Lepisosteus oculatus: one gene and its partner. The protein of the gene in region 1 interacts with the protein of each later gene in a biochemical or structural test. Links are inferred from orthologs where the notes say so. Each region holds a gene or a part of one and is shown on either strand. Other genes may lie near its edges.

Evidence for each region.
Region 2: of the proteins of histone chaperone ASF1 (region 1) and tlk1a, one has a biochemical effect on the other in vitro, tested with the Homo sapiens proteins (3 studies listed by BioGRID). The link is inferred for Lepisosteus oculatus from reciprocal best matches to the Homo sapiens genes ASF1A and TLK1.

What each region holds. Positions count from the first base shown.
Region 1 is NC_090704.1:23,415,453-23,432,062, forward strand, and holds the start of histone chaperone ASF1, read left to right. Parts: upstream 1-10,216; 5' UTR 10,217-10,302; coding exon of another isoform or gene 10,303-10,350; 5' UTR 10,351-10,502; coding exon 10,503-10,611; intron 10,612-15,700; coding exon 15,701-15,816; intron 15,817-16,610. UniProt on the Homo sapiens protein: Histone chaperone that facilitates histone deposition and histone exchange and removal during nucleosome assembly and disassembly.
Region 2 is NC_090707.1:16,285,444-16,302,346, forward strand, and holds the start of tlk1a (serine/threonine-protein kinase tousled-like 1), read right to left. Parts: upstream 8,143-16,903; 5' UTR 8,104-8,142; intron 7,703-8,103; exon of another isoform or gene 7,589-7,702; intron 7,443-7,588; 5' UTR 7,436-7,442; coding exon 7,303-7,435; intron 7,152-7,302; exon of another isoform or gene 7,137-7,151; coding exon of another isoform or gene 7,034-7,136; intron 6,846-7,033; exon of another isoform or gene 6,828-6,845; coding exon of another isoform or gene 6,821-6,827; intron 6,769-6,820; exon of another isoform or gene 6,754-6,768; coding exon of another isoform or gene 6,735-6,753; intron 1-6,734. Other genes in the region: mettl8 (tRNA N(3)-methylcytidine methyltransferase METTL8, mitochondrial), read right to left, coding at 13,243-13,394, 13,706-13,771, 14,640-14,746, 16,349-16,488. UniProt on the Homo sapiens protein: Rapidly and transiently inhibited by phosphorylation following the generation of DNA double-stranded breaks during S-phase. This is cell cycle checkpoint and ATM-pathway dependent and appears to regulate processes involved in chromatin assembly.

The DNA of each region.
Region 1 (16,610 bases):
TACTTTTATTGTGTTTTATATCACAGTGCTGGTGAAATAATTAGTGACACAAAGCACAGAAGCTGACTCTCATTGAGATGTCAGTTTTTTTTAATTAATCCACCAGACCTTCACTCATGTTGTAACCCTAACTGTCCAGCTGTAAAGTATTACAGCTCACATTCTCCCATAAAAACTTAAACACTCACCACCCACAAGAGCATTTTAGACACGAGTTGTGTTAACTCTGGTTTTGCACCTGACTCAGCAATGACAGTCATGGTCAATAAAACCTGTTTTCTATAAAAACAGAACCTGAAATAACCATTTTAAAGAAACCAGTCACTCTGATCAGCTGTTTATTATACTGAAATGTTTTTTTGGATGTATGGCATAAAACAACATTAAAAATAAGACTTATTTAAGAAATGTTAAGTAGATCATTGGATTACTATTTCGTATAGTTTCAGATGCTGTGAAAGAATATCTTGTCTCAATATCTTCCTTCTCCTCCAGTTATTAACACAATAATGAAGTAATTGTATGTCTCCATCCATCCATTTTCTAATCACTTAATTCAATTAAGGGTAACAGGGGAGCCAGAACCTATCCCGGCAAGCAATGGGTGCAGGCATGATACATCCTGGGTGGGATGCCAGTCACAAACACACAGACACAAACGTAGACATGCACACATTCACACCTTGGGACAATTTTCACAGTATCCAGTTACCTGCCAGTATGTCTTTTACTGTGGGAGGAAACTGGAGCAGCCAGAGGAAACCCGACATGAACAAAGAGAGAACATTTGAACTCCAAACAGATAACATCCGAGGGCCAGAACTGAACCCACCACTGCAAGGCAGCAATAATTGGGCTTATGTCCAGTGTAATTTTTCTGGAAGATGCCTACAGAAAGGCATTTGTTAACCAAACAATACAAATAATAAACATTTCCAAAGTTACAATGCAAGTACATCACAAATTCATGAAAGATAGAAATTGAACTATATGAACTATAGCACTCTTCACTTCTATGACTGACATGCTGACATATTTCATACATGTCATGTTTCACTTTCAGAAGAAAGCCACAAGACCAGTTAGAGTTGGCTTGTTTATAACTGATTTATTCTTCCTTGGCTGACATAAGGCTTTATGTTTACTCTAAATCTAAAATTAAACTAATGACACTGCTGTATGGCTACGTAATAGGCTCATATAATTGGATACTGTGAAACCAAACTGTTGGAAACAAGCACCTGTCAGATTTTTTTTCTAGCCTAGCAAACGTGACCGACCAATTTAAAAATAGCTACTACTTATCTGAGAGAACGTGCATTTTAGAGGTAGTTTAAGGTCATTTTCTGGAAAAAATATATATGTATACTCTGTTCCCATATTGAAAAACATTATGTAGCACACTGTGAGCAACACATGTTTACGGAAACTTCTTTGAGCTGGTGGATGTTTGCTTGTTCTGTCAATATCAAAAACCTTTTTAATGTACCTTATTAACTAGCATCTTCCATCCATCCATTTTTTTAACTGCTTCATCCAATTCAGGGTCGCAGGGGAGCCGGAGCCTATGCTGACAAGCAACAGGAGCAAGGTGGGGTACACCCTGGGTGTGACAACAGTACGACACAGGGCACACACAGACATTCACACGCACACACGTTCACAACACGTCCAATTTTCACAGAAGCCAATTAACCTTACTGGTATGTCTTTGGACTGTGGAAGGAAACTGGAACACCTGGGGGAAACCCATGTGAACACAAGAAGAACATACAAAGTCCATGCAGATAGCACCCCAGGTCCAGAATTGACCCCAGCGCTGCAAGGCAATAATAGATGTGCTTATGTCTAATTTCTAAACCCAGTATATAACCCGAAACTGAACCCAAGACCCCAGCACTGTGAGGCCACAACGGTTACTACTGCACCACCATGGTAACCAGGATCTTCCTATGATAATTATTTATTTTTAAATTAAGCATTTTGACTTCTAAAGCTGAATAAAGATGGCTATGCTTTCTGAAAGGGATAACACAGTTGACTGTTACTGTCCGTATGTATGACACCTATAGGTACAGATCACTGTAATATGTCAATGTCAGGCCTTACAGCAAACCATGGTACAACTACATACAAGAATTCTGCACATAGTTTTATCCAGTTTGTTACCAACATGTAAGTGGTCTTTCTGCTTCTTCAGGAAAGACAAGACAAAGAACAGTTCTTCAAGTTACATGAACAAGTGCAACTTCTCTGTACAAAAGAAATATCTGTAAGGACCAATAGCCCAGTGCAAAACAAACTGTTAAACTTCTCCTTATCTTCCTGCTAAGGCACTTTTTGAGTTTAAAATGGTAGAATAAAGCAGTAAATGCCCTAAAAGTTCAAGTCTGCACATTAAACACCTTCTAAAAGGTGCTGCAGCTCTGTAAAAAAATCCTTGCATTTAAGTGCTCCTGTGGTTAAGGCAAACAACTAATTAACTTGAGGTTCCTAGTTTTTCAACTTGTTTTGCATTACCTTGAGTAAAATAACTTCCGCATACACTTTTCTTCAGATTAGAAGTAGAACTCAAATCCTTTCAGAATTCCTCACTACAAACATTATCAGCTAATTTACAACTATTAATGCCATCAACATAGTAAGGATGAACCGTAAAATATGTATAGCCATCTTTTTACAGATATACTGTATGTACAAATTATTTGTTTCCCTTAAACTTTTGTTGTACTGTATGTAAGAATCTGTCATACACTCAAACAGATCTGCATGTGGGTCTTTTTAGAGGAACTTTGTGGTGTATCTTAGTTGAATTGTACAAGATCCTTGTGTACACTGGCTTAGGTGACACTTTTAAGGGGATATTTATGAATGGCAAAGTTTAAAACATACCCTCATTAAGGATTCTGAGATTAAATGTAGAACTGCAGCTCATGGCCTATTCCTTAAATTAAATATGAACTCACAGTGTTACTGCTTCAAACAAATGAGTCTTCATTTAAAATACAACCAGACAACATTTCCTTCTTCTAGTCACACTGCTTTGTTCACTGGCAATGAAAACCTGCAAGCTCAGATGTTTAAAAAGAGCCGCTCTGACAGATGTTTTTATTGGCTTAATCAGATACTCGTAAGTTCAACAGTGAATGTCAAAATTTTGTTTTTTGTTTTATATTGTGAGGTGTTGAAAATAAATTAGGATTAGTACTCCTTTTTGTGCACAAATTTCACTTGAATGAATTATGTCCTGCACAATTCCACACTCTTAAAACTCTCACATCACTAAAAAAGAATTCATGTGATGTTTTGCACTGTTTTTGAAAGAAAGAAATGTTGCATTGTCTCTGAAAGTGTGTGAGTCAGCATTTTCTAATGCTTTACAACAATTTACATTGTCTTGTTTTGTTTTTTAAGCTAATTATAATGCCTTCCACTGAACATTAAAGGAAAAGAAAAAATATATTGTTCAAAATAGGTGGTACACACATACAATAGGAGGTATGTATCAGTATAAATTGTTATTATAACAATGAGATAGAACTGCTCAGTCTCTAACATTTTAGTAAGAAGTACCAGGTATATGGTATTGCAAAGCACGAGGCAGTGCTGAGAATTTTCATCATATAAAAAAAAGCTACATCTGTGAAACAAGCCAAATCTTAACCTATATTGAACAATAATTTCAATTTAGTTCTCCACTTTGTTCATTTTTAAATGTGTATGGATTTTAAAGTCTTTAATCTCATAAAACTCTCATTTCATCTCATAAAACACAGCTCTCTGCTTCAATGTCAAAAGGAAAGCCAAGGCTTTATTTTGGCTGTAATTTAGGAGAATATTTATTACTGCCCAAATGTTAGTAGTATGTCTGTGGACTATTTTCTTCGGTACTTCTCTGAATTTGACTTGAAGACCTGTATATTTCAGGCAGGCACTTTTATGTAGATTTGCATTCTTACTAAACATTTCCTCAAGGAGGAGGTTTTGAATTTGAAACAGGAGTGATAAGTTAGCTTGTGATTATTGCACAAAATACCTACAATGGGTAATACTTTAATCTAAGAGTCAGATTATAAGTCATGTTATTTATGAGTTATTTGTTAAGTTATTTATGAGTGACATACAAGAACTTAACAGATGACGGACAACTCCTTTTGAAAGACTTGCTCAATAATTCTTACCTTTTATCACTAATAAATTATACATACCCTTCATGTTTCACTAATATGGCATGTTTTGCTAGCACAAGCTGTGTTTAACTAATAAAGAATAATACATGGTTTACAGATAACCCCTAAAATAAAGTGTTATTTGGGAAGTTGAATTAATGGGCATTTAAAATATGAAACAAAATGTTTTTAGAATTGTACTGATTACATTTTATGATGTGCACCTATATACATTATTAAGGAAAGAATAGGATGGATCTGGTCCTTATACTAGTTTGTACAAAGAATTGTTAAATGTAAAACATATGCTATTATTTGAATAACTTGCTTGGTTATTTTTAAATTGGACATGCTATAGCAAAGCAAACAGTGTAGTGCTTCATAATTTATTCTCATCTACTGTGCCACATATAGTATATTAGTTTAATAAGAGAAAAATATGGTGAGCTGATGCTCTGAAATTCTTTAGGCCTGTACAGCAGGGGATTCATTCTTTTTTGTTATCTGTATAATTCTGCAATGACAGTCACAACCTCATTTGTCCTCACAATATCACATACGACAATACTATAACAGTATTAGCCTTGGAAGGTACGGAAGAATTGTCTCGGGGCTAAATTTCTCTACCATTACATTATGAATGTCAGCATGATGAAATCTTGTCTGTCTGCTTTGGTTTTATATCTTATTTCACATGGGATCTGGGATGCCATTTAAGAATTTTAAAAGTTATCTGTAATCCTTTGCATGCAGGAACAACTTCATTGCTCTTATAAAGCCAATTTAAACTATAATTTTACTGAGATTATTCCACCATCACCAAGAACAAAATACTGCAAACTGTTCAGTTATGATACCCAGCGTCCCGTTTTGAGATCTTAATTTACCTCAATACTGTATATACAGTAAGTCAATATGTTAATAGAAGTATCTTGTTTAAAGTGATTATCAAATGCTGGTCCCCCGGTCAGTGTCATCCGGCTAGGCCTTTTCAAGAAATGATTCGGAAAAGCCAGCAACGTGAACTGACACTAAATAACATCAAGCAGTATTTATGTACTTTCATCACTTTCGCAGGAGTCGTTCGTTGGTCGTTCTTTACATTACCAGCTGAGCGCACTGATTTATTTTGTGATTTAGTTGTGAAGTAATATTTCACGTAAACTGGCACTGTCGCCTAACTAATGGCAAGTCATTGGGAAATAAGGCCTCTGTAATGCATGACAACATAGACCGGAGCTATCGGTACTGCAGTGTCCTTAGAAAACGCTCGACACTAGAATTAGCCTTTTAGTACATGATGCAGTGGCCTTTAGTATTTGGTATTACTTAAGTAATTATTAAAGTTAAATCAAACCCAGGTTATATAAATGTAAACACAAAGTGTGCAAATCAAATTAAGCAAACCAAACTCAGATGGCAATATTGCTGGTAGTAAAAAACAAGTGATGCCAGACCCCATCCCGGAAGAATACAGTTCACTGTATTTGCTTTACAAGTGATGCTGAGCAAATGAGCACAACCCGCAACCCTCGCTAGCAAATCCTAGCTTTTCTCTGGCATTTATAAATTCTGTTAAACATTACCTGCGCTGGTACTGCGTGAACCTGCATAAGCACACGACCAAAGAGCGTTGTGTATTGTCTGAATATTACGGCTTTCTTGACGTAATGACGTGTTACAGAACTAAGGACATTTTCATCAGTATTAATTCAAACTAAACACAATTACAAATTATCCGCTACGTTCAGCCTTTTTTTTGCTCCTGAGAATACCAAGGAACAATAACAAAGGGCGTGCACATACAATGCCAGTGTACAGTATAGCCAGTCGTTTTTAATATAAGTGGATACACGGTAGAAAATAAAGGGCTATTGTACAAATCACAAGACATATAGCACTGTACCTGTTATCCTACGCCTTTTCTTTGCCGAAACAAATCTTCTTTTACTGCATTTCAATATCTGATTCCAAGCGCTTTTAATACCGTTTTTTTTTTAATTTTATGTGAGATAACGAATTTATTTTTGAATGCAAGTGATGATATGGAATTCCTCCAATGAACAGCCCTGTTCGCTCTTTATAGTCGCTCCATGTATATCGAGGGTTAAAGCACCCTGGTTTGAACCATTCGTTTTGTAGGGAAGTTTAATTCTATGCCTCATATCGTTCGTGGAAATTAAATAAACCAGGTTTCCATTAATGCCTTAAAATAGCTTTATATTACTTAGCAATAGAAAAATGCATGCTCACTATAGTATTTAATAGCAGTTAGGCATATTTATTTTCTGTACAAAAGAGCTTCACCCCTTTCCTACCTATCGTTGCTGTTTCCAATGCAAACAGAGACTTAGCAACACACTAGTTTACCAGCCTGCCCTGGCTGGTTAGCTGGAGTTGTAGGCACTTTGACCACACTACATGGTGGTGATGACACGCTCCATGTTATTAAGCTTTTTTCAATAATATTGTCCTTAATTTAGATGTTCTGGAGAATACACTTTTCAGGGTCCTTTTCGTGCATATTTTGTTACATGGTTCTCTTCTGCTGTCGAGTGAATTATCCAAAGTTATAAATAGGTGCTGCAGAAGCTATTTTCTCATTGGCAAGAGTAACTTTTCTTATTATGTTACTGTAATTATACGATCAAACCGACCCTAAACAGAACTACACTATTATAAATCAGCTTGACATTTTTTTCTTCTAAATGTCCTATGTTTAAAATCATTTTAAAAAATAATAGAAGACTTTAAAAAGACATGTTAATCAACACCGGCACATAAAATCTCGGGGCAAATGAAACATAAACTTATTTTCCTAGATTCATTTCACGTCTTTTATGACCCATGTGTAAGGGAATGCAAAGTAAATCAATAGTCTGCTTCTTTTCAATACAGTATTAATAGAAAGAGCTCACGTTTAAGTATCATGACTGAACAATAGCTAAAATTAGTATTTTGATTAGGTGTAACTGATAATCTTGAGGCATTCATATCTTTCATTCCGTATCCAGCCTAATTAGCTGTTGCTGTTATTATTATTAATAACAATAATATTAATTTGGCTGACAATTATTCTCCAACGCAAATTACATATTATACAATGATCTGTTTTGTTTAAATACACATCTTAGTACTGTACATGTGTATGGGTTTGCTAAAGCCACTGGGGAAAAAGACTCAGGATCTCTAATCACTAATCCACACTATTAAATTATAGTTACTGAGGAAAAATAGTTCTCTTGAAGCATGTTTGAGTCCCCTTTAAATAAATGATTATATTTTGCCTAGTGTCCTCTTTAAAAACGAATATTCCAATAAAAATTCATGCAGGTTGTCTGCACACACAAAAGAACTGCTACAGTTTCATATTTTACAATAGTAAAATGAACATGGAATATTTAAAAATTTCAAAATATTTAACTTGGTAAGAGACATCTAAGCTTTTGCAAAGAACTGTTTAGGTGCCCAAAGTGCATTAGAACTATTACAACAAACAATAATAATTGCACCTCTATTACCCCCTGATATCACTGTACCACTGCAATCACAAATATTCATAAACATGTATGAAACTTTGTTTAAATATGTATCATTGATTCCTGTTCTATTTGATACCATCCATCCATTTTCTAACTACTGTGTCCAATTCATGTTTTCAGGGGAGCTGGAGACTAGACCAGCAAGCAACAGGCACAGGGCAGGGTACACCCTGGACAGGACACCGAGCCCTCACATGGCACACACAGACACAAACACAGACCTGGACTTACTTGCACCAGGGCATGTTTTCCCAGAATCTACAGTAATTAACTACTAGTATGTCCTTGGATTGTGGATGGAAGCTCACATGATTTTGGGGAGAACATACAGACTCTATGCAGATAACTCCCCATGTTCGGTATAAACCCTGGGCCCCAGTGCTACAAGGCAGCAATGCTAACCATTGCATGACCATGCCAGCCTTATTAAATACATATTTAATTAATATAGATACATATTTTGTTAATATCGTCTGTTATTTATAGTAATATTATCTAATTCTCTGACTTTAGAAGTCAGAGAAGAGCTTAGAAGTGCCTAAGAGCTTAAAAACATTGACAGTTGTTTATTTCGATTCCACCTTTATCTGCAGAAAAAAGACAAATTTATGCAAAGGTTCTTTGAACAGGTTCATTTATTGTGAGGCCAACTGCAAATATCAGGGCATTGAATGAATTTTCAAAGCACATAAGGCACTCATTGATTTCAAGAACCTTGACTAAAAGAGGATGACATTACACTTGATAAAAGTATGCTCCTCCTGGATTTTTCAAAAGAAATGTGGTGCAATATATTTCAAAGCCTCAATCTACCTGCCAGTTACAAAGAACACCCCGGTACTTGTTTGGCAAAGTATTTTTTTCCTTCATTTGATCAAATGGACTCCCACAATGAAGTGCTGTGTTTGTAATTCACAGTTGGTTGGAGAATAACATTTCTGACTATTGAAGACCTAAGATACAACAGTATTTTTTTTAAAATAACAAGTTGTGAAAGTCTACTTCAATTTTGGAAATGGGTAATAGTGATATGATAGGTTTATTTTACTGACATTTTTATTTAATATAATATGAATTTAATCTGATGCAATACTCTGTATTTTTCATTCAAACAAGTACATTTTGTCAATCCATTTATATATATATTAATTGCAAATGACATTAAATATTAAGAAATCTGTGATTTGGGATAAAAAGGAGAGGTTCATCATTGTATGGAAATCATCATAATCATTTATATTCCAAACTAAAGAAGGGCAAAAGTATGATAATTAATACATTTAACACACATTATTGTACTGTTCCAATAATATTCAGATTTACCTTATTGTTGACTTTGCACTCAAAGAATCTGCCTTAATCTTTCTATATGCAACCTGCTCTTCCAAACTTTTTTATTTCACGTGGCCATCTGAAAGCAGGACCTCTTCATAACTATTTTGTATCACTCGATTGAATTCTAGTCCAACAATTCCTTGGTCCAACAATGATCCATTGGTCCAATTAATCACCATTTTAGTGTCTTTACTTTGACAGTGATGACACATTGTGCTCTAACTCATTCTTTTTAATATAGGGTTTTGTCATTCCAAGCACACATTTGTCCATGGTTTTGGGGGGTGCCTAGTAGCTTCTCTATCACTGTTGTATTTAGAGTTCAGGGTTCAAGTCCACATTTTAATACTTTCATAATAACTAATACTTTCATTTTAAGGCAAAAAACATTTTTTCCACAATAATTATGATATATGACACTATTGTCACTGCCATAGGATCTAGCTATATATTGATGAGGGGTATCATCATTACCTGCTATGAAAGTAAATGTAGGTACTCATTGTATCATGGACTTTGGATATATATTCACCCATTTTTGCCATTTTCTCTCATAGTTGTTCAACAGATATTGGCTTAGAGCAGACCAACTAATTATTAGAATCTTGTCTGTAAATGGGTGAGCCCTGTGGTGTGTGCTATGGGTCAACAATTTATAGCCATTTTATAATCGACCAATAATGGGAACAATAGTCATTTTAGAGCATTTTCTGCACCAGAAACATTGCAAACGATACGATTCAGAGATGCGGGAATGGTATTTTGGATTTACCTGCTCTGCCGGTGCATGCAAAAAGAGTTTTGGTCTAACAAGTGCCTAATTACCTAATTAAGATGTTCACATCCTACACAGTTATGGTATCACTGTTACTGTAAAGGGATTTTAAAGTCTGTATTAGCAGTTCTTCCATTAGCCTGTTCCTTGAGGGAAGGGAAGAAAAATCATTAGATAGTATACAGCAACAACTGCGAAGTTTACGGGCTAAAAAAACAGCCTTTTTTAAAACTATTATTGTGAGAGAAGTAGTTCTTAAAGTGAAAGATAGGTTTGGTTGTGTTCAAGCTGAGCAAAGGAAAAACAATGTTTCGGGAAAATGTGCATGCATCACTTATTTAACCAGCAGGTGGCGCCCACAATAAAAGTTACAAATAATTTACTGTACTGTGTGTGCAAAAAGATCCAAATCCTCCGCCTTCCCAAGGATCATCTGCTGGGCTGAAGGCTGCTCTCGCAGCTCTGAGCTGTGCAGCCGGTCATGTACAATTTAATGTCACCCGTAGGCACAGAAAAACGGAGATATTCGGTATTTGACGGCGTTACTTCTATTTAAAAAACTGGATTACTAGTTGGCTGCGCTGTGCGATACTTAGTATTTGACGTGGGTGGCGTGTTTACTAGAAAGCGCCGTGTTTTGTAGCGCTGACTCCGCACTTAATAGTTTTCGTGTAGCAAAATATGGCAAAGGTTCAGGTGAACAATGTAGTAGTGTTGGATAACCCATCTCCCTTTTTCAATCCTTTTCAGTTTGAGATTACTTTCGAGTGCATTGAAGATTTGCCCGAAGGTAAGTAAGTGTACTTCTGTTTCAAAACTGTAAATTGCTAAGAAGGTAGAGAGAAAACAATTGATTGGAGGTTGCGAGGCCTGGATTTGCTAATAAATATGTAACAGTTTTGTAATTAACAATTGTGCATAACGGAGTACTAGTAAGTGGTGTTTATTTTTATTTTCAAATGACTCTAACGCGGATATCTAGAAATTCTGTAATGGAATGTATTCTATCACCGAGGGGTCGCGTTATCATTGACTCAGGTAATCGATTTATTTAGGCTCTGTATTACGGATAAGGTAGCCATGTTGTCAGGAATATTCTAGTTGTTGGACAGTATGGTATGAGTGCATTTAAAAATATGTATTTTTCTTTTGTATAATAAAAGCAAAGTGACAGTAGACCCACTGACAATCGTAGTTAGCTAGATGTATGGAGAGCATGACCACGTCTAATTATAGAAGTTTTTGTTTTTACAAATAAAGCGTGTAACTAAAAACATTAAAATAAAATTATTTGAATATAAACTTGCGAAAAATGAATCTGTTAAAACTATCTTGGTTAATGTATGAAGTGCTCAATCATGTTTCGCCACAGGAAGGAAGTAGGCTGTAACTATAACTAGCATCAATCCTTGGCTAGGCTCCTACCAGGATTGATGCTAGTTATAGCCAATAATCCGTATTCTGTCTAAATTGGCTGTGTATATTTATAGTTACTATAATCTTTATGCGTCCGATGGAAAGCTTAGTTTTATCACGCTTTTGGTGTAAGTGGAATTTTTCAATTTGTCAGATAGGATTCCTTAATCGCCATGCCAATTAACACAGTTTTAAACTTTTTTGTATGTAAGAGTACAAAAACAATAATACAGTAAAAGTTAGTCGCCCCACGTTTTTGAAGTAATATTATTCTCTATCATCGTTTTTCGCTGTAATTGGCGTGGGTGAAGTCAGTGCGGCGGGTTACAGTATGTGTCAAATCGCGAGCGGGGCAGCATTTTTTTTCTGTGGGGAAAAATATTTCCTTTGAACATTTTTTCCACCTCGTTATATTTATTCACCGTTGGCGTGGGCAGTCGCATTGAGAGTGTTTTAAATGTCACTTTGCTTATACTTTAGGCTAATACGGAATTTGTAGCACCCATTATGGATAGTCTAATAATATTTCTTAGTACTGATTAATGGTAAACAGCGACACATTCACAGTCCCTTCATTTAAATGAAAGCTAGAAGTGTTTGAACCAGACATTGTTATGTAACCTCCAAAATGTACCCTTTCTCAGCAAAAGTTACAATACGTTACAATAATGTGTATCTACCAGAGGGTCGTCTTAAAATTCCATGTTATGCGAGATGATTGGTTAATGACACAAACCACTATGATTTTCTGAGACGATAGAAATCTTGTGAGTACTGTATTTGCGTGTGTGTTTGAGAAAACCAGCCTTATACTTTAAGGTCATAGGCTTAGTCTTATGCTTTCCAATCAGGGGACTGATGAATACCTTAAGAGGTTATCAATAGCTTGTTGGCAATCCCACAATCCAGAAGTATTAAAACTATTTTCACATCTCTTAGGTTTATTTGCATGCTTACTTGCAGTAAATTTTATAGGTGCTTTCCAGTGCCTTAGGTGCTGAAAGCAGCCAACTGCTTTTCATAATTTGGAAATTAGAACTAAGGTGGTGTCAAAGAGAGAAAGAAATACATTTATCTGTTTACCTTTAATGCAACCAGTTGGCCAGTGTACCTAGGTCTCACTTTATCTTGTATCTTGTTTCAAAATACAATTAGTTTTTAACAAGATATTGCATAATTACAGACCTCAGAAATAGATGTTGAAAATAATGGATGGTTCAAAGTGATAATCATTGCTAGAAATGACTTGCTGTCCTCTAGTGTGGTGAGTAGTCCTTTGTTCTGTTGTCTGTCGACAGTAGATTATGGGCATTAAACTGTATTGTAAAGCTTTTTTGTCTACATAGCAACACTTTGAAACATAAAAAAGCTCTTTGCTTTAAAAGTAGATAAAGATGGAGAGAACAATATCAGTTTTTCCCATTGGTGATTTCCTGGGAGGGTGTTGTCACACAATGCCATTCACAGACGTGACAGTGCATGTTCACAAGTCATCTGTCAGGCATGATAATGGGGCCCCAAACCACGAAGGAGGTTGATCATGAATTTGTCTTACAGTATTGTTGACATGAGCTTTATCGAGACCTTATGGGATAAGCTGCACTGCCATTTTCATAACTTTTTTTTCCCTCCAAAACAAGCTTCAGTTTACCAGATTTCCAGAGTGAGAAACTGGGACATTTGAATTCTGAAAATAAGTGCCACGCACAACTCTGAGACGGTTCAAATTCCTCTTTGTAATAAGCAGCTCTTTTACGTGTTTATCCTTTTTATATGGCTACTTGGTTGAAAACCATAAGCAACTTACATCTTGGAAGATGAACCATTTTGATTTTGGTTCCCACTTCATCACATTTTTAAGATTCATTACTACAGTTTAAAATATCTATGTCTGCAAACATTCAGCTCCCGCAGATTAACTGAATAACTAAAAAAGCATTAATGGGCTGTCGTTGCTGCTTGCTGTTATAGCTTATTCTAATCACATAGCAAAGAAAAGAGTTAAAACTGTATGCACAGCTGCTTCTGTGTTAGTTTGAGGGCTTTTTTTTAGCATGCACAACTTTTTGTCCTAGGTTTGTATAGCCAAAAAAAAGAAGCCAGTTTTAACCCTTTCATGATTAGTAATGACGATAAAGATTAAACGTGTTCACAGTGTAACTGTGACATGTGATAATGTGAAGCAATTAAAATATTACAAAGCGTGACGTAATATGTGGAAGGTAAAATTATCTATGCAGTGTTTCAAGTCAGTTCAGTGCAGACATTTTACAAGGTGGCCATAGGATTTGCTGAGAACTCTGGGAAAAGAGTCCATGTCAACTTCAACCTTTCAAAGTTCAACTTTGTTTTATCAAGATATTTTTTCAGTTTACATCTTTTGGTGATGTAAAGAACTTTTTAACATCTTGTTTGTAGAGAACTGACCCTTCTCTTACTACTCTTTTGCCTACTCTGAAAGCCTGCTAGAATAAGTTTAACTGTAGCCTTTGGTAAACTGTTTGATATTTAGCAGGAAGAGCAGAAGGAGAGTGGTGGGAGGTAGGAACACATTGTAATATCACATTGTGACCTCCTTGATGCAAAGGGACTCTTCGAATCACAGCCACAGGACACTGTGAGAGCAGCTGCTAGGAGCTGCGCACAGCTTATGGATCAAAAAGACCAATGCAAATTATGAACTCTTATTCAGTTATGAAATTCCGATAGAATTATAGAATAGAATTCCTTGCTATTTGGTATCCAGTCTTTTATTAGAAGTGCTGAAGCTATACTTTCATTAGGTAGCTATTGTAATATAGAAAACAGAGGTTCACCTCTAAAAAAAAAAGTCAGATTTCCCCTGAAATTGAACTAAATTTTGCTCCCTACAGTGGGTTAATTTAGGCTCATTGTAGCGTGTGTAACATGTATGTGACACAGTGGCCATGTGATGGAAAAGGCAGAAGAACAAGATTGCTGTCTTGGAAATAAATTATATCGGTGGTGAATCTTTTCTGTATTTCTGGACTGCAAAAAAGCCTGCAAGTGTATGTAGAAGGAGAGAAAAGGCTGTGTCTTCCCACCCTCCCCCTTAATTACAGAGGATACAGTTATGGAATTGGAAAAATAAACAGCAAAGTGCCACAGTAGTACCCAACAGTAAAAGAAATTTACAGACCAAGCGCAGGCGTCCTTCAATTGCAGGAGCTTTCCTTTCGCCTGATTGTACAGGTGGTTTGTGCAGGCCACATTTTCCCAGTTCATTTCACTTCATTCATCTATATTTGAAAGTGTTTTATGGGTCAGCCATTTGCTTGTTTCATTTGTTATGTTTTTAAATCATGGGTCAAGTTCTTATGTGTCCCCTGAAAAGTTCTGTGTCTTGTATCATCACGGATTCCGCTGTTGTATTGATTAGAGATTTAAGAGTAGCTGTACTGTGTTGCAGGAGTCAGATGGCACGGTGTTGTGTGTTTGTCTAATGATACCACAAATTCTCTGTCAGGCGTTGCCATGGAAGTCTGCTGCTTAACAGCTTGTTCATTTCCAGTTCCCTGTAGGTGTTTCTTGATGTACCGAAAGAAGGATGTACAGGAAGCACTGTTGGAATGCAGACCTTCAGTTAAGCTTTAATCTAATAAAACCTTGCAGTACAGTCAAGAGTTTTCAGGTTCACCATGTGCCTGTAAGTGCAGAGTGGTCTCTGTGAGGGCCTTGTGTCTCTTAACATGATTTAGTTTTCCTGCTTGGTCACTCAGATATCGATAGAAGAGCCCCTGAGTGCTCACATATTTTGGCTGCCAAAACAGATGATCAGTACACCACAACCTATATATAGGTCACATTCAACATATTAGGAATACTGTAAATATGCAAAGCATTGCATAGCTTAATAATAATTTTATCAAAGTTCTTGCTTTATCAATTTTAACAATTGATAAAAAGTGGCCTGGTTTCTTTTCTTGTCAGTATGAATCCATACAAATTGGTGTCAATGAAATGAAATAGGTGTAATACAAAGTGCAGCAAAGTTACAGTGCTCACACTAAGTCTGATGTATTCATCCACTTTGATGTAGAGCAGGAATGGTGGGGGGTTGAAGGATATTTGAAATGTTTTAAAATCTGTAAATAACATGTACATTTCTTAAAACATGCAAGCCTGTATTATCTTCCTTAATACTCTTCCTTTCTTTTGTGATGGTTATTTTCAAATGTTGCATTTGAGGTCTGCACGACCTTTGCAGTCCACTTTCCTGCCACGTCAGTCAAAATCTGAACTTTCAAATAATGAACGTCCAACTTTGAAATCACTCTGAAGACCTAAGATCTTTTATTACTTTATTTTGAGTCTTTCAGATCAGTACCTTACATGGAACACAATTCTTATACTGTTTGCTAAAGAACTACCCCGATATTCCCTCTTTATCAGACTGAATGGTTATTATAAATCCTCATGCCTTTTGTTTTATGTTTCTACAGATCTGGAGTGGAAAATAATTTACGTAGGATCTGCAGAGAGTGAAGAGTACGACCAGGTCTTGGATTCTGTGCTGGTAGGCCCTGTGCCTGCTGGGAGACACATGTTTGTTTTTCAGGTAATTTTCTACTGTAAATTCAGTTTATTGACAATGTCATATTGACTGCTATTGGTGTCATTATTCACACACATCTAATAGTGTGCACTTCTAAAGTGTATTGATGATGAGTGTACATCAACATCAGGATGACTTCCGTCTCTGGCTGACCATTATATACCTTTTGTGTGACTTATATTGGTTTTATGCAGCATTTTTTAATAATGGTTACCAGAAGGATTTTTATGGGCATAGAAGATCCTATCGCCTCCTCACATGCACTGAGATATTTTTAATTTGTGTTAAAATATTGTATTCAAATATGCACATCTTCCACCTTTTATGATGACACAGAGCAGCTTTATTGTGGCAGATGTTTGCACTACAGAGATGCGATTTTAAGCCTGTTTATTGGCTGTTCCTTGCTTCTACCAGCAACATACTAATTCTTTGAGCTCCTATTGGTTAGCATTGATATCTATGTGCTGCATGCTGTCAGAGCAAGCCTGTATTTTTGAGCTGCGCAGAACATTTGTCAAGTGAATGAAAGTACCAGTCTTAAGAATGTTAAAATTATCAAAAATTCAAGAGTGGCAGTTAATTTTCTATAATTCATTACATTGATTGGAACCTGCTGCCAAGAACACCAGAACAGGGAATAAAGAAAAGTAATTTTTGATTCTGGAATCACTGTTTTTAACAACAAAGCTAAGTGATATGTAGTGTTATTACTGTTATTATTACTTGTACTATTAAACAATGAAATAGGATAAGTAACCTTGAATAATAAACAGAGATGTCAATTTAAAGCTATG
Region 2 (16,903 bases), on another chromosome or scaffold:
GAATGACGCTGGGCTCCTCAGATCAGCTATGAATTTTTCACACTTTCAAAAGTACATCACACACACAAAAAGGTTACAAACGAGAGGCGGCCATTTGGCCCATCTGGCTTGTTTGGAAGCTTAACTGATGCAAGTATCTCAAATTATACATATATATATAAAGGATTACAGCTTACAAAGTAATAAAGCAAGTTATTCAAGCCTAATAATTGAAACTTAAGAAAATAAGCTCAAAAATCCTGTTACTGTCAAAACAGGGGTGTTTACTGCCAAACATTCTCTTGACCTTAGTACTCATTTTATATACTAGAGAACAATATGAAAGTCATCCATGCATTACATCCCTGTATACGCTGACAAATTATTCTATTTCAATATTCTTCCCCTTTGTAAATAGTGCACATTTCCTTTTTCAGTCATCTCCTAAAAACCACCACAAATCCACTAATGCATACCTAATCAGGGCTGTCTTGACTTCATATAGCTTGAGACAGTTTCAGTTTAAAATGGTCACATCTGGTTCAGTGCTTTAAATTATTCTGCACAGGGAAAGTAATGTAAAGCACACTCTAAACAAATATTGCCACACAAGATAGGGCCATTTCAGCAGTGATGTACTTAAAATTATTCCACTGAATCGCCTAAAGACAGAAACATTTAACAGGTATTTTATTAAAACAATTACAAAATGGGGAGGGAATTCAGAGAATCCCCCCAGTTTAATAGACTGAATTTATATTTGCACTTCAAGTACACCTCTAACCTGTTTCTCAGTCATAACAAAAAAAATACTAATATTTTGTAGACAGATATTAAAATGAAATTAAGACCAAAAACGTTGATGGAAAGTTATACATTTTAAGCTATGGAAAGAATACGGAAAGCTATATTTTAGTATTAATATGGCTTTGGGTATTTTTAGCCTATGTAGATTTGGGGTTTTATTAATTCAGAGGAATAAACTCCAGTTTTTCTACATTTTCTCATGGCAGACACAACAGACCCACAAGCACTTGTAAGAAAAAAACAATTTTCGATGAATACAAATGTAGAAGGTTTTGAGAGTCCGTTGTAACTTCAAATACACCACACTAAAACAAGGAAGCCAATCAAAACTGTTTTGAAACAAAGATCAATGGAAATCTGGCCTAGGTTAATTGTAATAATTGGGCAAATGGCCATCGTTCCGAGCAAAAACAATTTCGGGAACTTTTACCATAGACATGCATGCTCCGTGAAAGCATCTTGGTGGTGACGCTTAGCTCTTACCTAGTTCATTACATCTGTGAACAAAGGGAAAGGTACCTTTGCAAGAAAAAACTGTACTTTAATTCTATTTTCTGCAGGCCGCTATTTTTAAATCCTTTAAGGTGCATTCAGATTTCAAAGACCTTGGTTAAAACTTGGTATACCACTCAACGCCCCATGCGTTGGGCAGTATTTTTTTTTTTATTTTCGTTCTCACTGCAAGCACACCCACCTCTGCTTATGGCTCTCACTGCACTTTCTCTGCCCATTGCTGAAAAGGCAATCCAAAAACACAGTCGGACGCGATTCAAAGAGTACCACATAGCAAACTATACCCTAGACAGACCTGTTCGGACCACACTGACACCTCAGCGTGCAATTGGAAATGCCCTACAGACAGATGGTCTGGCTGAGGTGCACCTCAAAGTAGCTAGCAGAAACTGGGTATCAGTCTGCAGACAGCCTTGCCGCGAATCCGGTCAGGATGAGTGATGGGCTCGTAAAGGAAGCGTGCAGTTTGCCCACTGAACACGGGCAGAAACCAGACAGATTTCAAAGCCACTGGGTATTCACTTATTAGAGGGCGACTGTCCAGTTCAAGTCCGACAACTACAACCGGCTGCGGTGTGGCCGACAAACATAAAAAAAATAAGACAACAGAATGAGGCACATAGCACACACCACAATGATGGAAACATGAGATCTACTCTTTCGCAATGGTTTTCAAGGAAGGGTTACGACTCATTACTGGGCAAGACACCTGAAGAAGGCTCCACGGCCAAAACATTGTGTTTTCTTTCTTCTTTTTTTCAGCACGGAATAAACCTATTAGTTGTTCCAATGGAACACTCTTGGCTAACTGGTTATATATGTAAATTGTCTCTTTAAATGTCTCTTGCTACACATTCTAAATAATTTGCTTCATGCTTACTTACTGTACTTATTTCTGATTAAGGCTCACTTGTTTGCACTGACTTTTAGTATTTTCTTATGAACTATGCATGGACAATGTATGTTACATAGCTTTTTCTACACAATCAGTAAAGACAATGCTTTCCGTACGCTTTCATTGTAGGAGGCACAGTTGTGATGCTTAATAAACCTTACAGGTAAATAAAATGAGACCCTGGAAATGAAATCTCAACTCCCGCCACCTGCACCGGAGAATTCCGGCAGTAAAGACAAAGACTTCTGCCATGTCGACCTCTACAAAAAAGAAATGGACGAAGCACCGTTGCGATGTTTTCATGCAATACAGATTCGTTAACTGTTCCAATACAAAAGAAGACCCAAAGCCCCAGTGTGTTCCTTGCATCAGGCTGTGTGAAAACAAGAGTTGCAGCCCCACAAAACTGAAAAGTTATTCAGAAACAAAACCAGCAACATTGTGGATAAGCCTCTTGAATACTTTTGATGGCAGCACCCTGACCTAATGTTATCAGCTCAAGTTCTTAGCTGGTCAACTACTTTGAATGATAAGGCATATCTGACTGCAAACCGTGTGGCAAAAAAAAATGGCCAACAGATGCCGAAAAACCTGTTTTTCCGGCATCTCAAAATTCAGCATGTACACTTTTCATCAGGAAGATGGACATCTCCAAAGTATCCTTCTCATTGAAACACAATAGTGAAGAGGATTTCAAAATCTATTATTTGGCCACTGTCGGTTAGGGATTTTGCAAACGCTTTTCGAGAGTACCAATGCGTCAAGTTATGCAACAATTTAGGAGACATACGTCAAAGTCTTATGAAGAATTTTTAGTTCGTATCTAACATACGACAAAAACACAGATTAACAGCAATTCCTTGCATTTATCACATGTTTTACCTACAAGGGAACCCGCTTCATACAGACCTGAAGAGCAACACCCAAGGGGGGTGTGATGCAGTCATTATGCGCTGGTGGTCCCATTACACTGCAGAACAGATGGAGAAAGGGGAAACTCCTTCACCAATTTAATTAAGGGGTAACTTCAGGGAGTGGAATTTAGCCAGGACACTGAGCTTAACACTCCTATTCTTACAAACAGTGTCATGGGATATTTATTTAAAGACCACATAGTCAGGACCTGAGTTCAGCATCTCATATGAAAAATGGCACATCCCAGATCACAGTGAACCACGTCCGCAGGGTGATGGTTTGGAAATTCTGGTATACAAAAGCACCACCTACTGGTCCACCAACCCCGCTTACAGCACCAGCCTCGTTTTCCTTAAGCGACCTCTTATCCCACTAACTAGGCCCAGCCTTGCTTAGCTCCTGTGATCAGACTAGAAGCTGCTAATACTGATGTCTTAAAGTGAAGCTCTTAATGAATTTGTAGGTGGAAAATGAATTACACTACCTAATAAATACAAAGGAATTACAAGTGATGGTGTAGCAAAAAACGACAGATAGAAACATTCTAGTTTCAACAAAAATATCAAAAGTACCTGACAGTGTTGTTTGGAAACACTGTCATGATTAAATCAAAGCTTTTGCATCCAATGGTATTCCAAGATCTTACAGCCATACTGAAGGAAGTAGTTAGAATTGTGAATTTCATTAAAGTTAGCTCACCGAACAGCAGAATTTTTGAAGTGATTTCTTCAGAAACAGGTACAAGAATAACTATTTAATAATTCACATTTAAACCCCCTGTCCTGTGACAGCCCTGGTATTTACCAGTGTGTCTCAGTTCAGGAAAAGATTTGCGCTGTTCTAGAAAATAATCAAATTTGGCAAATCTGAAAAATGACAGCTGGTTAATAAAGTTGTCATATTTAGCTGACATTTTCTCAATTTTAAACAAACTGAAAATGAACTTACAGGAAAGAGGCGACAATTTGCTTCAACACAGTGAACAGATACAAGCATTCCTGAAGTCTCTGGCACTGTGGCACACATCATCGAAAAGTATTTGCCCAGGTTATTACAGATAACCAATACTGTGAGATTACACAGAGAAATGGTAATTATTTACTACCTGTCTCAAGAATTTGGTAGCTACTTCCAGAAGATGAGGATTGACAATTTGAAGAAAAAGTGCAAAAGATCCTTCCTCTTTCATCAATCCCTAATCTATACATTACGCCTAACTAAGAGAAGAAGCTACTGCAACTAACCTGTGAAAGCACACTGAAAATGTGCCACAAGCCATTAAATTTGTCATATTTTTGAGTCAACGTCTTCAAAGAATATCAACTGTTGAGTATGATACTGTAAGTGTTCAGTTGTTGCTGCCATTCACAACAACCTTAATGTGCGAAAAGCGATTTTCAACTTTGATAAGGTTAAAAACAAAAACGAAAAACCCCACTCAACAGCACACTTGAAAGGTGGGAAACCCTTTTATCTTATGATCCTGATAGGAGTAAGGCCCATCACACAGGCCTGCCTAACCTTTTTTAGGTGAAATTCAACCCGATTATTTTTATAAAGCTCTTGAAAACACCTTACGTTCGCAATGATGTTTTGTTTTCATTTTGTATGCGAGTCGACTTGACACGGCACAAACTGCCCTATCGTTACTTTATGAAAACTAAAGTTCTCAGATGTTGTTCTGGGGTCACAGCGACAAACGTTTTTTCTTTCCCTGGGTTCTGCGAAAAGTTTCAAAAACTGTGCTTTGTCACACCCTCCTTTCCTTCAGAATGGAAACCGGATTCGGGCAAAATTTAAACTGGTTAGTTGTCTCGGACAGAGGATTATGCCAACGGAAATGGGCATCCCAACCTGGCAGGGGCTATGCCAGTCAACTGAGATTAACTCAGGCGCACATATGAGGCCTATCAAAACTGAATGCTACTAAGTGCCCACATCTTGGGACTCGAAGAGGGATGCCAGACAGGTCAAGGATTATGGGTTTAAACGCAGCAGTTTTGAAGTATCACTATGGAGCAACACCATAAAGTCTTACGCCTGCTGACACTTTGATAGTCTTACACATGAAATTTCAGAAGAAAAAGATGGTCTGTGAAAAAAGCTTGCGAGTATCTTATGGCATGTACTGATGAGATCACCCTGTAGGCTTAATTTATACAGCATACTGTATTAAAGTTAAAGTTTTTAAATTTTAATGCTGGTACCCTTAAAATAACAGAACACGGATAAAAAAAAAACTGATGTCATTTTAATTGGGCACCTTTCTAACCCTAGAGGTCAATATGATGCACATAATGCATTTTGGAAATTTCTCCAAGCTCTCTACAAGAGGAAACAGACGAAAAGTGGCTTACAGAGAACTAACTCAAATGCAGTGAAGAACTCTTTACAATTCTGCATAAACAAGACCTGAATACTGTCAGAGCCACTAAACATTAAGCCCCTGCAAAAGCTACTGGTTGAACCCTAAGAACACAGGACATTTTAGCTCCATGCAGTTCGTGGCTGTAGTAGGTCCACCTGAGCCTAACTCTCTAAAATGACCAAATTAAAAAGAATCATCATGCTTTGCAGCAACTTGACACTTTTGGACTGGCCAGCACAATATAATGCAAGACCCCACTGATATGTGCGATGAGATCAGATCCTGTCAGTTTAAAACTTTTCTTCATAAGGGCACACACACACACACAAAAAACAGCTTTTAAACTGAGGAAAGAACACATATTGATCTATAACTTAGCTCCTAACTCATAACTACTTCACATTCCTGGCTCCCCTTTTCAAGCACAACCAAGGCAGGAGACAGATATCAAGTTAATTACACCACCTACAGAAAAAAAATAGCAAACTTTACATAGGAGCCTATACTGTAAAGCTGAAAAAAAAACTAATTTAACATAAGAACTGGTTTATTAATATGGAATTTTTCATAACATGCAGGTACCTTATCGACCTTAAGCTCCTCAACAGAACATATTTTGGGTCAGGGAGACTAATTGCAAATTACATAAGAACTTGTATGCGAGATCTTTTTGCTTCAAGCACGACGGGTTGATTAAGGACGGAGGTAAACCTCGTTACCATATCACCTTAAAACCTCAAGGGCATCTTCAATTGCCCATAATACATAGAGCATTGCCAAGCAGTCTGCACGTCCCTCTCTGGGGATGACTTGCTTATATAGAAAACACAGAAACACAATTAAGCACTAATTTGAAACTCACACTAGGTAAACTAATTAGAACCGGACACTCAAAACTGCTCGGAATAGTAAGCCTAGACACATATAAACTCCACCCCAATAACTTGGTTATCTAGAACGTTTCCCCACCATTTTAGCCAACGCTAGGCATTATTTTAAAAGTAGTGTTTGTTCAACCAGAGACTCCATCAACTGTGGTTACGTACTGTAATTACCTGCATCCAGACAAATAACTACGCTCAAGGCACCCGATTGCACAGACTGCATAACACCATCATGGAACATTTGTGCATTTAAATTAAAAATAAATTCACCGAGCAATGCAGTTCTGTGCGCAGCCCCCAAAAAAGACGTGTCTCCGTGCACCCGCACACCACCATCATACTATGTATTGTGTATATGACACAGTTTACTTACTGCAATAAAAATGTGTCATCCCAGACTTGATACCAAAAAAGGCGAAGGAAGTTGCTACCCTTAGTTACGTTATTAAACTCGGATACCTGGCATTCTGCACACTGATCAATCTCGCCAAACTCTTCTTCTCGAAACAAAATCCATGGGTCCTCCATGATGTCAAAAGACCCGACCCTTTTTATTATCAGACATCTTAGCAAATAAAAAAAAAAGAGGAGGCACTTTTTTTTTATTTTCCCATTGCTTTTCAAAACGGAAGCCGCTAAAAAAAAACACAAAACTGTGAGCGATTTCAATACCGTCTAGCTGAGAGTCGTCAGCTAATGCACCCAAAGTGTAAATAAATGTAGCTGTTCTTTTTTTCTCCGTATGGCCTCTTGAGATTTTTTCTTGATACTCCATATCAAGCAGACACCTATTGACTGGCTGCACTGTACAGTACCTAACCCACGGCCTCAGCGTAACCCGCTTGGGACTCATATTTCCAGACGGCTCGTCGCCCGCATAACAAAAACACTTAGCCATTTCTAAAGAAGATACTTCTAAGATTAATATAGTTTTAGATTACCTTCCTTGGTTTTCACAGGTGCCGTGATATGTTGCTGAGAAAGCAAGCCCGGTGTTGGGGACGTGGAGAGCCGGGACCAAGATGGCGTCCCCTCCAAACTTCCACCACTTCCACTGTTACTTTGGACACTCATCAAGCTACTTTTTGGAACGAGAAAGCAAACAAACACAGGCGTCAATGGCAGTGAAACCTCGTGATTTCTGTAACCTGCAAGCCTCTGGCATCAATCAATCATCTCGTATGATCCGGCCCAAATTGTAAAATTTAACATTTTTTAAACACAAACCTCCCTATACCTCTGCAGTGCGTCTTGAAGTAGCCTGTGTGTGTAACCTTTGCATTAGGCGTCACGCATCGCTTGTGCAAACACTATCGCGAGGCTCGTACACCTCAGGCAAAAAATTCTACTGATGGAAACGGCAAAACAAAGAGGCCATCCCAAATTGTATGAAATACTTCCCAAGTCGCACGCTCTTCATCAGAGGCTTTGAATGCATTAATATTTTCATTTCTCATTCATAAAAAAAAAATGTGTAAACTGCAGGGTAACTGTGCTCCGTGCTACCTGTGCATTCCTCCCAAATTTTATAGGGGACATTTTATTTCATCACCGCATGAGGATTAAAATATGCAGACACTATTATCATATTAATAAAAATAAAGACAGTTCCCTGGCGCTATTTCAATTTCCTGATGCACTACGATGCCATTTCCAATTCCTTATCGGTAACGTAGAATAACGTAAGAACTTTGTTTGAAAAAAAATCTCATATCGCGAAATAAAAACTTTAATGTACATACACACGAACATAGTTTTCGCCTTCCCACAATTCATTATGGTGGTTTTAAGTGACGTAGGTTTAACCCTTTGCGGCGGACTTGCTAGTTGTTCAAGCTGTCAATCAAACCGCGATCACTAATTACGATAATTAGGATGTGTTTGTGGCGTTTATGTAATAGAATAGTTTAATATGAAAATTAGCTGATAATTAAGCATAAAGTAAATCTAATAAAAATCCTAAAATATTGCAAAAATAAATTGATGTATATTTACTTAATACATTAATCGTATTAAGTAACTATATCAATGTATTGATATAACAATTCTTTATAAACTGGGATAAGTGAAAATATTGTTTGAAGTGGTATTTATCACTTTTAAATATTGTGACCTTTGATAAGTGAAAAGAAATTTGGTTAAATGAATGTACTATTTTGGGTTGCCTATATACTCTCCTCTCAACTGTAAAAACGTTTCACACAACATTAAAGCACCTACTGTACTTCGTGAACATCGTGCAGTGAAGAAAAAGATTATTTGCACCTTTGAGGTCCTAAGAAGGGTCAATCATTTTAGTTCAATGTTGTTTTGTTGTTGTTGGGGGGTCGGCATCGGTATTGTTAAAAAATAAATTTTAAAAGGTCAATGAAAAATTAATTTAAAGGTGTATATTAATAAAATGGAAGTATAAGAAGCATATTAATAGCATAATATTTGCTGTAGAGTGGAAAAATATAAAGCATGACAATGTATTGGCGTTTAAATACGACAAAGCAAAAAAAGTGTAGACAGCAACCAGGAATTATTTTGCAGTTCCGTTTGCCGATTAGGTCAACCATTAACTGGGTATTTTAGGTTGAAGGTCATATTGCACTTTTTGTATTTGTCTCCATTGATTGATCATGAAGAATTGATTTTGGATTACATGTAATGGTAAGATTGTTGTTGCAGCAGTTTATGAGTGTGAGTCTCTTATGGAGAGTTCTCAATTAGAAACTGGGAAACAAACATCTGGATTTTTATGTAATAAAATAAAGCAAGTAACATTGTATTGTATTAGCTGTTGGTTTATACCGAAGATAATTTTCAGATGCAAAATTAGAAACAACCAGGTTCACGTTATTTTTGTGCATTATTCACATTCAGCACACTTTTAAATGTCCATAGTTTCCTCAGGAGCTGGAACATTCGGTTTTACTGTATATGTTTTTTGTCCATCCAAGAGCCATGCATTTCAGAGAAGGAAAATTATTAAATTGTTAAGGTAGTTCCTTAGAGTAACCGTTCGTTTTCACACATTTTCCACTTTTTATGTAATTACATTCACTTAATGCTGGGAAAAAAAAATCAATAACAGGCTTAGAAAAGGGTAGTTTGTTACAGATTTTAAATAATTTAAATATAGCATACACCTATAAATCAGAAGAGTTTAAGAATTCTATTTTATTATATATATGCAATACATTTATTTTTCAAATATATGTATGGAATTTAGAATTTTTTTAAGTAGATCAACAAAATATTTGTTTTCAAATCAGTAGACCGTGTGGTAGCAGTGTAATGGAGACAAAAGATTGTTGTTGTTTTTCCCAGTGGTCTTTTAGAAAAATAAAATATCTACTCCTAACAACAAAGACATAACAGAGTCCCTAAAATAAGAACCCAACTGGGGTCAAACAGCATTAAAACACAGGGGTTAATAATTTCCTGTTGCATCTCCCAATCTGATCTTTTAGATGGTAAAGGCATAGAGAATGTTCTCAGCCAGTGATGGCTCACTTGTTGTTCTATGCACTTGCTATGCACAGATGGCTGTTCAGAGTTCATTGAAATGACTGTGATGCCTCCTCTCAGTAGAAACATCCCGGCCTTCTTTTTCACACACCAAGCTAAGCTTCCCTTTTCAACACACAGCCCAGACCAGCAAATCCTTTGGCACAAGCCTTTGTCTCACAATAGCATGCTTCAGAACTGATTCAGTGCATTATACCACCCCAGAAAAGCAAGTCATGTGGGTCAATAGTAGGCATTTAAAAATTCAATTAGGAAGCAATCAAAATAATTATAGAGGCATTTTTAAAATATTTGTTGGAATGCAGCTTTCGTTTTCATTCAGGGCATTTTATTTGTTTTCTTTTTTTACTACTAAAACGAAGGCATATTAATGTGCTACATCCTGGAATTTTCCACTTGCTGTGAATGACTGGTTCAGGATTGAGTATGCATAATTTTTCCTTAGATAAAATTCTAACACCGGTGCACAGCCCAAATGAAACACTGGGCATGGAAATTTACCTCAGATATACTATTTGTTTTGTTCGGGACTCAAATTTACATCTGGTGCTCAAGTCAACATGCAATATGAAAAATTAGTTACTCAAATTTACATCCAACTAGGGAAAATAATCTTAATTCAGGATAAAAAATCTGAACCTGTCTGATTTGACTCCTACTAAAAATTCTGATATCTGTTCTTCACATTGTGTAGCTCTGGTAGTTGTCATTTGCTCTTATTGTGAACCTTCCTAATTTGTCTCAGTATTATGACCTGAAACAGACTAATACCTTGAACAGATAAGTGCTTTTGCAATTTGTTGCATTGTGAACTTTCTATTCTTCTTATTGGAACCTGTCCTTGTAAACTGCTTTTAGATTTGTGCACTGCAAAAAGGCATATGCAGGACTTAAGAGATCACTGATAGTGCCCAACACAAGAAAGTTTAAAAATAAGAGGCTATAAGGCACATCTAGACTGTCCAGTGACGTCTTAAAAGAAATCAGCTTCAAATCATGCCTGGGTATCTTATTCCAGTCCATTCTGTGTAAGAAAGTGTCCCCTCAGTAGTAATTGGAATAGTAATTCCTTGGTTCATGTCCTGGTATTGGTCCCTAAAATAGTCTTTTATGTTCAAGATGAAAAAGATTGCATGAAGGGTGAACCTTTAAGTCTGAAATACATGTGGTCCCCATTCTCTGAAATAATTGCAAAGCAGCAATATTTTTTTTTTGCACCATTATGGTAACCACAGCTGTACACAACATTCTAAATGAGGTCAGTATTGACATTTTACACATCTAATGATCTGTTTGGCCTTTTATTGCTTATCCACCTTATTGAAGGAAAATGATGTGTCAATACTTTGCTTTTTCCATAGCTGCCTGTTTCCAATCTCACATTCATACTTTTTTGGTGGATACGAAAAAAAAACTCTTCAATTAGATTGTATTATTATCATCATCAAATGATAGTTCGGGTGGGTAGCTGCGTCAGCATGCGTAGGCTGCAAAGGAACAAGTTTATTCCATGCTGAATAAGGTGTCAGGCTCACATCTGAAGAAGGCTCCACGGCCAAAACGTTGTGTTCTCTTTCTTCTTTTTTTCAGCATGGAATAAACCTATTACTTGTTCCATCATCAAATGATGTATTATTTCCTTAAAACATATAGAGTGATTTGGTAGTCATCCTATGACTTGTACCATTTGCAAAATTGACTAGTTCACAAATGTCCAAAATGTAGGACAACTGATATACTGTAAGTTCAAAAGAACAGTGGTCTGAATACAGATCCTTGTGATACCCAAACAAAATATTAAAAAAAACTTTAATTGAATAAAACTGCTATTTGATTGTAAAGAACTGTACCACTCAAGCATTCATCATCATTTTGTGAATCATGCATTTTTAAGAACCTTCTCAGTATAACATATGAGCCTTTCAAGTCACTGGCTTTCTTTGTAGCTCAGTCTTGTCAAATCTCACAACCTAAGCAAGCTTGGTCCATGTCAGTAATGATACTGGAGACTTCCAAAGAAATCCAGGTTGGTACAGTGAGTGGCCTTGCTGGAATAAGTGGCAATCTTCTCTCTGGACTACAATTTCCAATCTACAGCATGGTGACAAGGGACATAGATCTGTAGGCAGTGTGCTGTCCTTTTGTTGAGAGTTTCAGGAGAGGTCCTGACTACTTCATCTGTTCATAAGACTAGTCATATTAGAATAGGTGTACCCCAGTATATTGGCTAAATTCCACTTCAGGTTTGGACAGTCTTACCTCAGTAAATGTCCCTCTCACTTCAACTGGTGAATTAACATCTCACTGTATCATGACCTCATCTGTTTTCACTTTAATTGTCTTTAAATGGCTATGAAGTTCAAATTTAAACACTCATTAATGATCTTTTGGAAAATGTAAAGTACTTAAAATAACAATGATTACTTACTAATGTGAAAGATAAACATTTGAATAAGTAAAAAATTCCATCACTGATTACAAAAAACTGAGAAGATTAATAAGACTGTCTGTACAGTCTAGATGTACAGTATGTAGTATGTTAGTGCATGTTAGAATCTCTATAAAAAGATGGGAACAATGCCAAGCTACAGAAATGTACTGTACATTAAAAGAATAAGCTGAAACATATACATTCTAAGGTCTACAGAAAGGGTCAACCCAGTTTGACATCTTCAGTAAAAAACCAAGGAAACATGGCAACAAAGGGAATTTATTTAGGATGGAAAATAGGCAACACTTCTTTACATAAAGAGTGATGGTTGTCTGGAACATAAGGTTGAGGACCAGACTGTCGGGTCCTCCAAGAAAGAGATGGACAACATTTTAGTATAGCAGACAGAATGGCATCCATTCTTATATTTGCAGGTTCATTTAAGGCTTTTATGATCATGAATTGCGTATCAAGGGAAACCTTTTGCATTCTTCAGAAAGCTGGCATATTATTTCGATCTGATTCGCTTTTTATTTATGTCTTGTCTCACAGCCAGTAACATATTCCAGGTTTCCAGACGCAAATATAATAAAATCATTTCCTTATGAATAATATCAGTTTTGCACATTCTTCTCTCAAACTATTAGTCTTGATTAAAAGCTCTTTTAAAATGAGTGACGCAAGAGAAATAGGAAACATGAGGGTGCAGTGGAAACAGGCCATTGGCAACTCCTGTTCTTTGGACATGCACACTTTATCATGCTTGGATGCCCTGTCAACAGTTTCTGCCACATCTGATTCTGCTTGTTTCGATAAGTGCTTATCACATCCACAGAAATCTGAATGATGCTGTAAGAGACCTGCAGAACTCAATCCGTGCTGATGTCAGCATCTTGCTGTCCAATGCAGGGCTCATAGCCGGTGAGTTGCTTTGTCAAACGTCAGTATCCCATGGCTTCTGATACTTGCTTTGCACCCAAACGCGGCGCATTACCACTCCTTTCTTCCTGTTCACCTGGAGCCTCCTGTCTTCCAGGTTCTGGATTTCTTGTAAACCAGCACTCACAAACAAATGGTGGACTTCATCTGTTGCAGGAGACGAGCACAAAAGCAGCACATTAGCCTTCACCCATTCAAAAGCTCTTGCCACAAGTCAAACCGTCTGTTTGCAAAACATCTGACACACAGGAACAGAACACTCTGTGATCCTTTCTAGTCATGTCTAGTCTGTCATCGTGCAGCTGCGGTCCTACTGAGCTGGTTTTCTATACCACTTAAGCATATTTGAAGTTTTGACAACTTTTTGTTCTTGTTTTTTTTTTTAAAAAAAGAAGCCGCAAACATTTTCCAAACAGTGCAAAAGCATCAACTGTTGTTAAGGTCCATATGCATGTCACCTCTTGTAAAAAAGTAGACACAGGTACCATCTCCTCTGGCATAGAAGTTTTCAGACAGGCAACGGCCTGGGAAATGATCAAGATAGCCGTGTTAGTTCGACTGAGCTGTAAAAATACCACATCACAACATAGACGCAAAAATAACACTGAGATTTAGATGAAAAACCCAATGGGTTAACTACACAGAATAATAACAATAAGATATTTTCCAGTAACCACAACATGTAATAAACCCCCCAAATATATGACATTCATTTTCCAGCATTTTTTCTTCTGAGGGTGTGCATTTTGTGCAAAAATTATAGACTAGAAATAAATTTCTAATATTTGTCATGGAAGTATAATGCATGCCATTAAGACAATGATGTTAAAAAACTGCTTTGGAGCAGCCAATCCTGAAAGTGTGAGGAAAGTGTTTGACTAGTGTTTTTCTTATTGTGTAGAATTATTGTAAAACAATTGGATAAGAGAAAGCTAGAATACACAGTGCCCAATGGGACATTAAAAGACTTGAATGTTATTTAGTGGTACTTCTGGTGATGATTATACTCACAATACAAGCAAGGGATCAACCATTAAAATACAAAGAAAGTAACACTTGACTGTTCCTCTTCTTGTGATGTTGTATGTGCATGCGATAAGGAAAAATATTTTACCAACTGATAAGGCAGAAATGAGAACTCAGGATGGCAGTATCAATAGGCTGTGTTGGTCTGTTGTTAACTGATGTGGGTGGGCGATCCCAGTCTTTGTTTTTTTTTCACACCAGAAAAAAAACAAAACAAAAGCCAATGGATTTTCAAAGTTTTGTTCAGGTCACAATGGCAAAGGTGATGCACGTAAAAGCATGGTGCTTAACTGAAAAGCAGTAATCTTCTAATTTAAACACACTGACAAATTAACTGAGGAACGCAACGAGGAACCACAGGAGCACCTTGCTTAAATCGAAGTTGTGACATATCGTATCTGCCATAATCTCGGAATAAGAACACCCCCCCGGGCTTCAGGAACTGGGTCAATCTCTTTACAACTCCTTGCATTCTGTAAGGAGAAAAAACACACAACTAATTTTGTATTACAGCAGCAATGATCGAGAAAAAAAAAACAACTTAAAAAATGAAGTGAAGAATATCCTAGTTAAAGCACAAGTACGTAAACAAACAAACCATTTTTTTCAACCATGCATTCAACAGGCTCCCACAGTCCGGTGCTGCTAGCAAATTGTGCAAATGCAGGAAACCTCAGCACACAATAGAAAGATTCACCTTAAAAGTATAGGCACGTTTGCGCAAGACAGCGGCACAATTTCTCAAAGACGACTAGGAAGTCTTCTTTCCTTTGTCTGCACACAATGACATCATTTTGAACTCAACATGAGCAGACACATTTCTAGGTATTATGAGCTGCACCTAAAACACTGCAAGAAGCCTTAAGGTTCCAATCTAGTGGTCAAGGTTTGTCTATTAAGTGCGTACAACATCAATGTGGGTAGCTTTCCTCAGATAACTGATTACAACACATACCCATAATAGGTGGATCATTCCAAGCACATTTCATCGTATTGAAAGTGAACAGTACATAAGAAGACTAATCATAAAAAGAGCAGTCAGACTATTCTGGGTGCACAAATTATGCGATGCTTCCTTCATTTAGAATCAATAAGACATTGCTAAGTAGATATGTACAATGCATTTGACAATGCCATATAATATATACAGTAAGATAAACTTTCTTATGCAACCAATGTATACAAAACAATTGCTTTGTTTACACATTTAGTGCAAAAACTGATACAGTAAATTGAAATTGCTCATTTCTGGCCAGTCCATTTTAAGATCTGTACAAAGAAAAAAAACACATCAAAATAGAATAGCGAAAAATCTATTACTGCCTGCTGTGAGATTTGGCTGGCAGCCAATCCGCACCCTGAATTCTAATCAGCTGATATCTACTACAGGCTCCTGATGTAGTGAAATGTCACTGCTTGTTACAAAGAGCAGCAGACTAAGCTCTTTCAGCAAGAGGCTTTGTTCTCTGACTTCATTTGACTACCAGTTCTTTGAAAACAGTAACACCCACCAGCAATATCTATCAATTCATAAGTAAATAGGCGTACTTTATTTTATGATTCATAATCCGCACGTTAAACTTTTGGTAATCCAGTATTTTGTAAAAACACAACATGCATCATACACTTTGAGCCTCCCTGTGATTGTATACTACTGCTATATTCCTGCCCATTGTCCACATTGAACTCTTTGCCCTGTTTGGGTCTAACGAAAATTATCATCATCTGGAATTAAACATACAGAAATGTCATGCACAACAACAACACGACCATACAGGCATTTCCAAACTTCAGCCAATTTTGTCTCAAAGCACACCCCAAGCATTGCCCCACTGAGCAGCAGAATTTTCTCTCAATTTTGTTCAACGGTTCTTATAATGTTGCATTTAAAAAATAGCATGTGACGATAGAGTGCATGTCTTTCAATGCACATTTTGCACATGACTTGAAAACAAGCAGGCAGTGTTTTAAATCAGAATAATGGAATGGATATATAACTGATGAGAATGCTGGGAGATGCCTGGTGATGAATGAGACTGAATGCTTTTTTCCCTTGCCCTCTGACTTTGACCTACCGCTCAGGGTGAATGGACGACAGCACAAAGACGACAAGAATGATGTCTAAGCTCTTGGGTGGAAATGGGAAGGTGGCGGTTTCATCGCAGACATCATGGACAAAGACGTGACACTGAGCAGGGCAGTATCTTGGGTGAGCCTGCACAGAGAAAACGGCGACCAGCAACATATCAGAAAACTGCACAATGTTCTTTTATCATACCTTATTTTACCGTGCCCAAACTAGAAAAATGATCTCAGGTGAGTAATCCGCAAAGGACAATTAACATGAGACTGTGTTCTATTTCACCATAAACGTAAATGCAGGGATCCAACTCTTACTTAAACCCATTGCTTGTGGTAATATCTTTGTTGCTTTTTGGTTACATAATTACATAGCGCATATGTACTTCAGTAAAAAAAGGTGCATTATTTAACATCAAATCGCACAAAATCAGAGCACAGAAATACTGTACAGTGAACATAGAACGTGCCGAAGGTACTACACAAACCACTTATTTAAATGTCACAGACTCAGTGCTTCCTGAAGACACATAGAACATAAATAAATTATG